2 linked regions of the Caenorhabditis elegans genome follow. The protein of the gene in region 2 interacts with the protein of the main gene of each other region in a pairwise test. Each region holds a gene or a part of one and is shown on either strand. Other genes may lie near its edges.

Region 1 (4,603 bases), 1.4 Mb from region 2:
CTGCAGACAATTGAGAATATCATTGAATGGCGTGCACTCATTGGATTCCTTATTTGAAGAAGTTGGCTCTTCATTAGATGACATTGATTGCAGTGGTGGCGCATCAATGAAGAACTCCTCGAAGAAACGATCGTCTTGTGGCTCCATTTTGACCATTTGTCTGGGCTTGTTGACACTTCCACGTGGACGTCCACGAGCTTTTTTGGCGCCTGAAAAATGATATGTTTCCAGAATACTGGTAGTTATACAAAAGGAGCTAGTTTTAGAATGTTCTAGCAATATAGAATAATGTTTCCTTTATCTGAAAAAACTTATATTTAAGTTGGAATAGTTGAAAAGATGCTCACAAATCTCAAACTTTGAGACAATATTTGAGCACTTTTCCGATTGTTCCAACTAAAATATAAGTTATTTTTAGACATAACAAATATTATTCCTAAATTTTAATGAAAAATATTGAGAGAACATGTCAAAACTAGATCCTTTTGTAGAATTATCGGTCGTACTCTTTCTATTATCATCATTATCCGCCTCTTTTCCAGCCATCTCATTTTCGATCTCATATTTAAGTTGTCCGGCTTCAGATGTTCTCTTGGACTTCCGAGCTTGAAGCACCTCTTCAGATGGAGCATTCACATAATTTCTGCTTTGACACTTTCCACTGCATCGATTCATATGCTCGTAGAAGTCGATGGTCATTGCTTCCATGTGAGTTCTAGAATATAAAGTTTTGAGAAACAGAAGTATTTTAAGGGATTATTGTCTTGATGCTCACCTCAACGAAGATCTTCCAACACGGATGCTCGCCTTCCAATCTTTCTGACGCTCTTTGTCGCCACGGATTGTGAACTGCTTCGGAGAAAGAAGATCGTCTGAAAATAATTATATTATGAGACCCATTTTAAATTATCTGAAATAAATAAAATAACGAACTTCCCACTTCAATACACGGCTGATGAATCCCAGGGCACATGAACAGGTTGAGATGCATCTTTCCATTCACGACACCACAGGAAACTGGCACAGTCGGTGACGCATCTCCTTCGGGAATTGTGATCTGCAGTGGTGTTATAGGGCGCGGAAAATCGTCGTTTGCCGGATGCTGTAAAAATATGAATTATTAAAGCGATGTAATTATGAAAAAGTAGCTGAAACTCACTCCATACAAAATTTGATAAACATTCCTTTGACTCTCTTGGAATGGAGTCATCGTGGAATGATGATGATCAGATCCTTCGGCTTGAAATCCATCACATGATCCAGAAATCGGATGAGACGGCAACACGGAAGCAGCGCTCACGTCTCCACCGAACATTTTGACGTTGCTTTGCAATCCGAATAAAACCGTGAGTCGGGCGGGCCGTTGCAAAGTTCGCCACGTTTCACGTTAACACGTAAAGATTTCCGCGTCATTCTTTTTTTCATCTTTTTGGTACCACTTCCGATAAGCTGAAATTTCTTATTATTTTCGTTGGCAGATAAATAATGAATTTTTTGTTTTAAGAATATTTATTCAAGAGAAATGGTTTCAAAACGGGAAGAATCCAACTTTTCAGAGAGTTTTCTTTAATTTTTTACAACAAAAACACAATTTTCACACTAAACAACAGTTATTTAAATTAAAAATCACAAGTTGAACACTTTAAACGCGAAAAATAGTGAAAAAGTTCATAAAAAAGCAAAAGTGTGAAAATAATTGCAGAACAGAATTTTCTACAGTAACCTTAAAGGCGCACATACGAAATCGCGCGGCGCGTGGCGACACCATTTTACGATATTGGTCCTCCCTTGAACCTTCTGAAATCAGAAAGTTTTACAGTAATTGTAACATCACAAGATAGGAAAAAATGAAGAAAATAAAAAATAAAAAAGTCAAGAATTTTAGGATTGCAATTCAAAGGTTTTTACCGATCTTTTTAAAAAATAATGAGAATTTTGTTACTAACTATGATCTTTCATTTGATAGTATTAGTCATTAAAAAAAAACACACAGATCACCTTAAGTTTAAGAATACAATGAAAAATTAAGCAAAAAAATTCGTTGAAAACATTTTTTAATGCTCGTAAAATTGCTCCAAGGTTGATTTTGCCTTTTACATTTAATGATTTCAAATTTTGTAGAGGTCAATGTTTTTATGAGAGACTCGTAGGGACGGATTTTTTTTATTTGAAAGTTCAGATAGTTGAAAATATTTTTTTATATTTTTTTTTGTTAGAAACAAAAAATAATATTTTTACTTTAAAATAGAGTTTTTTAGACGAAAAAGTGATTACGTGACATGACCTTTGGGCCTTGTTTTTTATGGCCTAATTAATTCAGCATAAAAGGTCCAGATTTCGTCAGTTTTGTTCATATTTCGTCCGAAATCTTGAATCAATCGTCTTTTGAATCGCCAAAGCAGCCAAGAAGCAAAGGAGCAGAAGCATGGGTTCCGAGAAGATGATCGAGATCTGTATCGATATGGAAGAAGGAGAACCACTTGGTGCAACTCCGAATGACAAGCTTGTCATCACTAAAATCCAGGCTGGAACTATTTCCGAAGGAAAGTTGAGAGTAAGTTCTACAAAAGTTTAACCATTATTCTATGAAAAGTTTTATAGATTGGTGACCAAGTCAAAAAAGTCAACGGGCAAAACTGCAAAGATTGCAATGACTTTTTCCGTGCACTTCGCTTTGCAGCTCCATGTGCAAAAATTATGGTGAACCGCGATGAGAAGAAGGCCGAAGAGTTGGAGGCTCGTGTTCATATTCCTGAAGATCGTGCAAAGATCATTCAACGCCGTGAAGGATACGTCTATGAGTTGGCAACTCTTGTTTGGGTTCAAAATGGACCAAAACTTGGTTTGGGAATCAAGCATTTCCAGGTAAGAAATCAATCAAATCAAATAAATTCTAGGAAATTCATATATCTATTTCAGAATCGTGTGCTTGTCTCCCGTGTTGATCCTGGATCACTCGCCGAAAAGTGTCTCGTTCTTGGAGATCACTTGTGTGATGTTGATGGTATTCCAGTCAGTGACAAGGATGTTGCCAGAGACCTTCTCGTCAAGAACATTCAAGAAAAGGGAAAAGTCACTTTCGTCGTCGAGCGTCCCGATTCGATTGATGCCAAGCAATGGGCAAAGCAGGCATTGGCAACCAATCTTATGCAGCCACCATCTGTGCAAATGAACGAGGATGTGAAGGGCATTGCGTCTCAATACCGTCAAGCTCTTCCAGGATTGAAGCCTCCAGCAAAGAGTGCTATGTCTACTGGTCCAAGCGCTCGTCGCGTTTCAATTGTCGAGCAAACTCAAACACATGAAATCGGGCATGATCATGAGGGAAAAGCTCTTCGCAAGGTCAAGTGATGTGCCAGCAAGATGCCAGAAATCGCAACGTCTAGCTCGAATAAAAATTTTGTTTGAATCGCTTCTGCTGATTTATTTTGTTTTATATGTTCGAATACAGATAGTTTTTTGGGTATGTGAAACGCCCACAAAATGGCTCCTTTTAGGCAGGAGTGGTCAAAATACTACCGTATTGCAGACGATTTTTGTTTGAAAGTTGTTTGAATTTCTGAAAAAGGCAGAATGTGGTTACAGCAAGTCTCTATTAATATCAGCTCGTTTACTCCACGTGTTCCTCGTTTACCAAAAGCCCTGACCATGTTTTAGTGGCCCAGAAGAAAGTCTAGTTCTGGCTTACCGTAGCCTTAACAAGAGTTGAAAAGCCATAACTTTTGATGGCATAGGAAGTACCCACAACACTGAGCCTCTCGCAAACAACTTGCTTTGCTCCACCTTCAACGCTTTCATTTTGAGAAGCTTTTGATTGCAAAATAAATGGTAATAAATTGTTTTTTTTTGACATTTTTTTGTTGAAAAAACAATTTATATTAACTTCTTGAACCCATAATAAAATCAGCAATGTTAAAGGCCTTCCTATGCCTAGTTTCTGCATTTCTGCGCCAAATTTGGTGTCTGTGTCTTGACAGATAAATACATGGTGCATCGTGCAAAGATTCACCTACTGGCAGGTAACATGCCATTGCAACTAATCTAAATTATCTTATTAACAAACTTTCATTCAACTTTTGAATAAAAAAACGTGATGATCTCACGTTTTCAAAAAACATTCTAGTGCTTATCGTGATTTTCTCGATTATTCCTAGCTATTTACAATATTTCTTCCAACTTTCGTGCCTCAAATCATGAGCAAACCTGGTTAGTTTTGAACGCTTTTTAATGAAATTTTTGAAACTTTTTTTCAGAAAGTGTTCAAGAATCCCTTGATACAATCACATTTATTCACTCTTTTCAAATTACGACCACCAAGGTTGAGCATATGAAGCCGAAACGTTTTACCACGGTCCATCAGTACTCGCTGATTAATTGGTAGGTGATCTCACAGTTCTAGGGGATAGAGAAAAGGGGAGATGGAGATATGTGGGAACTGAAATTTAGTTTCACTCCCCCAGTCTCCCCAAGTGCCTACCTCATGTCTAACGTCTATTCACTTTGTCAGCAAAGAAGCAGTAAAAATTCATTTCGATTCCAGGGATATCGAAATATCGGTATCCCAAATACTTCAAGAACATCCCCAAAACCCTGAAGAACCGGT
Region 2 (5,674 bases):
TGAAACGTAATATTTTCAAGATAAAATTTTTTAATGCAAATCTACAAAATCATACCTAACAGGCATACTTGCACTATCTTCACTGTTCATCGGTGCATGAAGTGTTAAAATGTTGTAAACCAATCGGATCCGACTGAACACCCGTGCAAAAAAATTGGCTATCTGAAATGTGTGAAAAAATGAAAGTTTTGTTTTCAGATAATATAAAAAATCTTACATCCATTGAAGTATACCAGTTCTTGCGATCCCCATAATAAACCACAACAATCAGTGAACAGAATATGATGAAAATGAGAAGAAAGACGGACCATGAGATGAGATATGCTGTGACTGAGTTAGAAATGGCAATGAGCATTGTAAAAGTTAGTGAGAACATTCCAAAAAAGAGGAATATGGCAAAGAATAAGGCAAACGAAACTCTGAAATATTCAACTTTTAAAAAATAAAATTTCCTATATAAAATGTTTAAACATACGAAAGCGAAACTCCATCAAGCCAATCCCTTGAGAAACTGTGCATTGCCTCTTTCAATTTTGCGAGAAGTGCTGATTTTCCGGATCCCCATTTGGCGTAAAGTCCAATTGTAAGTGGAAGAGAAAGAGAAGGTTCACACACTGAAAATAGTAAATTCAATGAATTCATTGAAAATATCGGGAATTTACCAATATCAGCTAAAACATTAGAATATACATCATATCCCATAGCTGTATCCATTTTATCTTCCGCATCAATTGGTCCAAAAATTAGTGGCAGAATAGGTTGAGGATTTGATAAGTCAATGGAATACGGTGTCTGACCAAGCTTATTGGGTCGGTACAGTAACCGAGAATCTGATGGATTGGCTGTAAAAATCTCAATTTTTTAAAATATCTACAAAACAAATTAATACTCACACAAAAGTGCCTGTGTTAATCGTCGACTACGTGCTCTCAGTGCCAAATGAAGTGCATTATCTCCACAATTATCAACTGCAGCGAGTTTAGCTCCGAAACTCATCAAGTAGGTACACAGATGTACATGACGACATTTAGCAGCACGAAGAAGTGGAGTTTCACCGTCCTAGAAAATAGAAATAGAGAATTTTTTCAATTTTTCTGAATATCAAAAAAATCATACATTTCAGATTTTCAATTCTTTGATTTTTCGGGGGAAATTTTCAAATTTTCAATATATTCTTTGATTAGGTAAACTTTTTTAATTTTTTTAAAATTGAAATAAACATATGTTCATAGTCAGTATATTTAATCAATAGTTTCCAGGAGATTTTTCCGATAATTTTAATTTAATTTCCTTTTTTTTTTGAAAAATCGAAATTGAATTTTTTTTGTTTTTCAATATTCTGAAAAAAAAAGATTATTTCGAAAAAAAAAAGCTTTAAATTTCGGTTTTTACAATTTTGATGGAATTTTGAATTTTCTTAACATTTTGTCAAACTTTTTCTTTAAAAAAACATTAAAAAATCGAAAAATTATATCTCCTTGTTCCTCACCTTATTTTTCAGTTCCAAATTCGGTTTTTTCTCCAATAAAATGTAGGCGATATCATTGAATGATTTATCGATGGCCAGATGAAGTGGTGTCCGTTTTTCCTGAACTTTTTTATTTATTTTATCAATGCTTAAATTCTAAATCCTACAGAGTCTTGACAATTGATATCAGCAAATTTGTCGAGAATCATTCTAACAATTGCCGCATTTCCACTTCGAACTGCTGACGTAAGAATCCAGTTTCCAAATCTGCAAATTTCATTTATGTTGAAGTCAAAAACTAATTAGAAAAATACCTATCACACTGATTCACAAAAGCACCCGAATTAATAAGAGATTCACATATATCAGCATATCCATCACGAGCTGCCATTCCGAGAGCTGTCAAACCATTTTGATCAGCTACATTAACATTTGGTTCTCGTGTCAGAAGAAGCTCAACTACTTGAATAAAGTTTCCACGTGTTGCCAACATTAAAGCTGTGGATGAGTACTGTAATTGAAATTAGTTTCAGGATTCAAAATAACTAAAAAAATTACCATTCCAACTGCATCCACCTCAGCTCCAGAATTTAAAAGTAGTTGTACAACAGGAAGATGTCCTTTTCGAGCTGCCCAAATTAATGCAGTACTTCCGAATTTGTCACAGGCATTTACCTAAAAATATAAATAAAAATAAATTGGAATTATATTGAAAATTTGATACAAAAATTTTTGGAATAAATTCTTATAGCAAAAACATTGAAAACGAGAAGCTCTGACTATTTAGAAATTTTTTTATACGAATACTTCCTTTTTTCAAATAAAATCCAACCTGACAATCTGAATCAATTAATCGCTCTACAATTTGTGAAAATCCACGTCCAGAAGCTACAATTAACGGTGTGAGTCCGTCTTCTTCGTCAATAAGATTTACATGAGCCGGTAACAAAAATCGTTGTTTTTCTAATTAAATATATATATAACTTACTTTTGCGTTAACAAGTAGATCAACCACATCTAAATGATTTTTATAAACTGCCCACATAAGAGGACTCCATCCCATTAAATCAGGTTGATCAACAGATGCTCCATTATCAATTAATAATCGAACAATGTCAACATGACCACAGTGAGCTGCATTCAGAAGAGCACTCCAACCTTCCTGAAATAATTTTCAGTTGAAAAAAGAATTCAGCTTTTGAATAAGGATTTTTTTTAAACTCAACTCGAAAAAAAATCAAATGGCTCATTAATTTTTTGGAGTATTCAAATATTTTATTTCAGAAATCTTACATTGTCAGTTTCATCAATTGCGTCTGGATCCAATTGTGCTAATTGTTTGGCAACTGCTGTGTTTCCTGATCGAACGGCAACTGTGAGAAGTGATTCTCCATTCTGAAATTTGTTTTTGAAATAATTTATTCGATTTCGAGCACTTACAGCGTTTCTGAGAGCTGATATTTCTGCGGTGAGTGCACATCTGAGTTCTGTGGTGCCATGCTCAACCTGGAATCATTTCAAAGTTAAAAAAAAATGAATAAAATTTATGTTTTCAGTGTTTTTCTTTGAACAAAGATCTTCAAAGGATATTTTCTTTGTTTTATTTCTAGGAAGATGTGATTACTTTTCTTTATTCTTAAATTTCGAAATAAAACAGCATTCTGTCAATTTTGGTTTTTGAAAATTGATTTTTTTGACGATTAAAGTATTTCTAATCGTATTAAATTCAGATTAGCATATTGAGATTCAAAATGTTTCCTTAAAATTTATTAATAATTATAAAATATAACCTGTTCGAAGAGCTCAGCAATTTGTGTACTATTCATAGTCACCGGAAGAGCACTGGCGACGGCAAAAGCACTGCTTGCCGCTTCTTGCCACGGTCTTCTCAGTGTTTGAACCATGGCTCCTCGCTGCTTCTTCTCGTCTTCTTTCCCCTAACGTCCTGGGTCTCCACAACGCGTCACAATATTTCTTGGATTTCTCTATTTTCTCTTGCTTTCAGTGGTCCTTCGTCATATACAAACTTTCCAGACGCTTGTTTAGTATAAATACTAATTTCGATCAGCAGTTTTTCTTCGCAAATCGATGAAGAATTGTTGTGTTTTTCTTTTTATTTGTTTGAAAGCTGAAAAATATTACTGTATGGGGTTGAAAACGAATAATAGACAGCATGTATTGAAAAACCGACGAATTTCTGTAGATAATGGTAAAATTTGATACAAAATTATTGGGAATTACTCTATTTAAGAGCAAAAACTGATTAAAATACATTAAAATTCTACAATAAACAGTTTCAAAGCATTCGTAGAAAAATCGAAAAGAGAAAACAAAAAGTCCCTACAGTAACTTTAAAGGCGCATCTAGAATACTTTGTAATGGTCTCGACGCGACTTTCATTGTTGTATTTGCAAATCTGAAAAAAGAAAATAATATTATTTAATTGGCAGCGCCTTTAATCTGCGGTATTTCTTTGGAAACTTTAATTTTTTACAAATTAAAAAGAAAAATTCCGACAAATATTTGAGAAACTTCGTTTTATGAGTGGTTTTTATTATATAGCTTCGGTAATTATTTTTGCTTGTTTCAAACCGATTTCCGAAAATGGTCGCAATTGCAGTTACCAATAATTTAATATTTTATGATTTATTCTTAATCCTCAAAAATCGAATAGAAATCAATATTCGGAAAACAGAAAAAAAAATGCAGAAAATGACACATCTGTCAGTGGTGGTCGCAGTAGCAGACACCGAAAAATGATGGGATGGGAGCCTGTCAATAGAAACACAAAAAAAACGAAAAGCGTAGGCAAACAGAAAAAGCGTTAGATTATCATAGATCTCAAAAAAATAGAGAATTCAAAAAACCAAGTTCAAAATTCTAGAGAAAATATCGAGTCCTATCAAATTTCCATCACGCTCCGTTGGTTTCAAGAAGACGGATTATGCAAATATTACTCCCGAAACCACGTTGAATTTTCAGTGCGAAATGTCAGTTTTATTATTCATACTTTTATACATCAAAACTGAAGAAGAAAGCAGTGAGAGAAAGGAAATACAAGGCTCACAAATACTCTCACAGGAGGCTCTCAAGGAATACTCAATTTACTCGTGTGTTGAGAGAAGACAACGAAGAGCAAGAATCGACCTCAATTTATAACTATTGTTAGGATGGAGCATGAACAAAAAAAAAGAGAAAAGAAGCATTCGGATCGTTGGTGCAATAATTCATGGATGCCAGTTTTAATTGGGTTTCTACTAATAGAATTCCAATTTTTTGTTTATTGTTCGACATTTTCAAAAATGCATTTCCTTTTTCGATTCGTGCTTTTTATTTACAGAGGAACCACATACTTGAATTCTAATATTTACGAAACTGTTGATTCCAGATTTTCAGATTAAAATAATCATTCTTAAAAACTAAGAAAGCAAGGCATTACTAGGTAAGAAGAGAAAAAGGTGTATGGAAATTGATAAATGTCTCGCACACCCTATCATTTTCGCTGACAGAGTGCAATACAAGGTGATAAAGAGAAGCGAGACGCGGTTGTGATCAATGGCCGCAGACGGTCCAAATATATAGAATGGGCATGTTTATAAAGACAAAAAAAAAAACTGCAAAAAAAAATTATACTCTGAGAACATGAATAAGTTACAAAAGGCACGTTTTCTAAATATCCGTAGTTCGTTTACAATTCTTCTCCGTCTCTGTCAATCTTCATGAGCTCAACGTCGAACTTGAGGACAGAGTTGCCTGGAATCTTTGGTGGGGCTCCACGTTCTCCGTATCCAAGGTGTGGTGGAATTGTGAGAATACGACGCTCTCCGACGCACATGTTAAGAAGTCCTTGATCCCATCCCTTGATCACCTATAATTTCAATTTTAATTATTGATATTGGTTTTTTCTTTAAAAACTAACATTTCCTTGTCCAAGAGTGAAAGTGAATTCTTCATTGCGAGTGCGGCTGGAATCAAATTCAGTTCCATCGAGAAGGGTTCCGGTGTAGTGCATGTGCAATTGATCACCCTTTCTGTAAATTTAACATTTTTATTTTAATTAAAAAGAGTAAGCTTACCTGGATTTCTGAACGCAGTTCTCGGCACGCTTCTTGACTCCAATTTGCAATTTATCGATTTTCTGCTCATCGGCAGCATATGCGATCGCCAATAGGCACAAAAGTCCAACGATAACAGCGGTTTTCATGA

Evidence for each region. The genes of interacting proteins can lie anywhere in the genome.
Region 1: the proteins of kdin-1 (region 2) and smz-1 interact in a two-hybrid assay, tested with the Caenorhabditis elegans proteins (one large-scale study listed by BioGRID).

The regions. Positions count from the first base shown.
Region 1 is NC_003282.8:12,452,767-12,457,369, forward strand, and holds smz-1 (PDZ domain-containing protein), read left to right. Parts: upstream 1-2,283; 5' UTR 2,284-2,425; coding exon 2,426-2,554; intron 2,555-2,601; coding exon 2,602-2,865; intron 2,866-2,919; coding exon 2,920-3,351; 3' UTR 3,352-3,533; downstream 3,534-4,603. Other genes in the region: Transcription regulator spe-44, read right to left, coding at 1-209, 507-715, 776-872, 934-1,102, 1,160-1,315; C25G4.7 (uncharacterized protein), read left to right, coding at 4,194-4,206, 4,254-4,381.
Region 2 is NC_003282.8:11,036,584-11,042,257, reverse strand, and holds the start of kdin-1 (KAP NTPase domain-containing protein), read right to left. Parts: upstream 3,373-5,674; coding exon 3,259-3,372; intron 3,235-3,258; exon of another isoform or gene 3,085-3,234; intron 2,975-3,084; coding exon 2,909-2,974; intron 2,864-2,908; coding exon 2,762-2,863; intron 2,631-2,761; coding exon 2,457-2,630; intron 2,409-2,456; coding exon 2,301-2,408; intron 2,144-2,300; coding exon 2,027-2,143; intron 1,980-2,026; coding exon 1,783-1,979; intron 1,736-1,782; coding exon 1,636-1,735; intron 1,589-1,635; coding exon 1,490-1,588; intron 1,060-1,489; coding exon 894-1,059; intron 843-893; coding exon 663-842; intron 615-662; coding exon 476-614; intron 420-475; coding exon 218-419; intron 163-217; coding exon 56-162; intron 1-55. Other genes in the region: fkb-1 (peptidylprolyl isomerase), read right to left, coding at 5,157-5,336, 5,388-5,499, 5,545-5,672.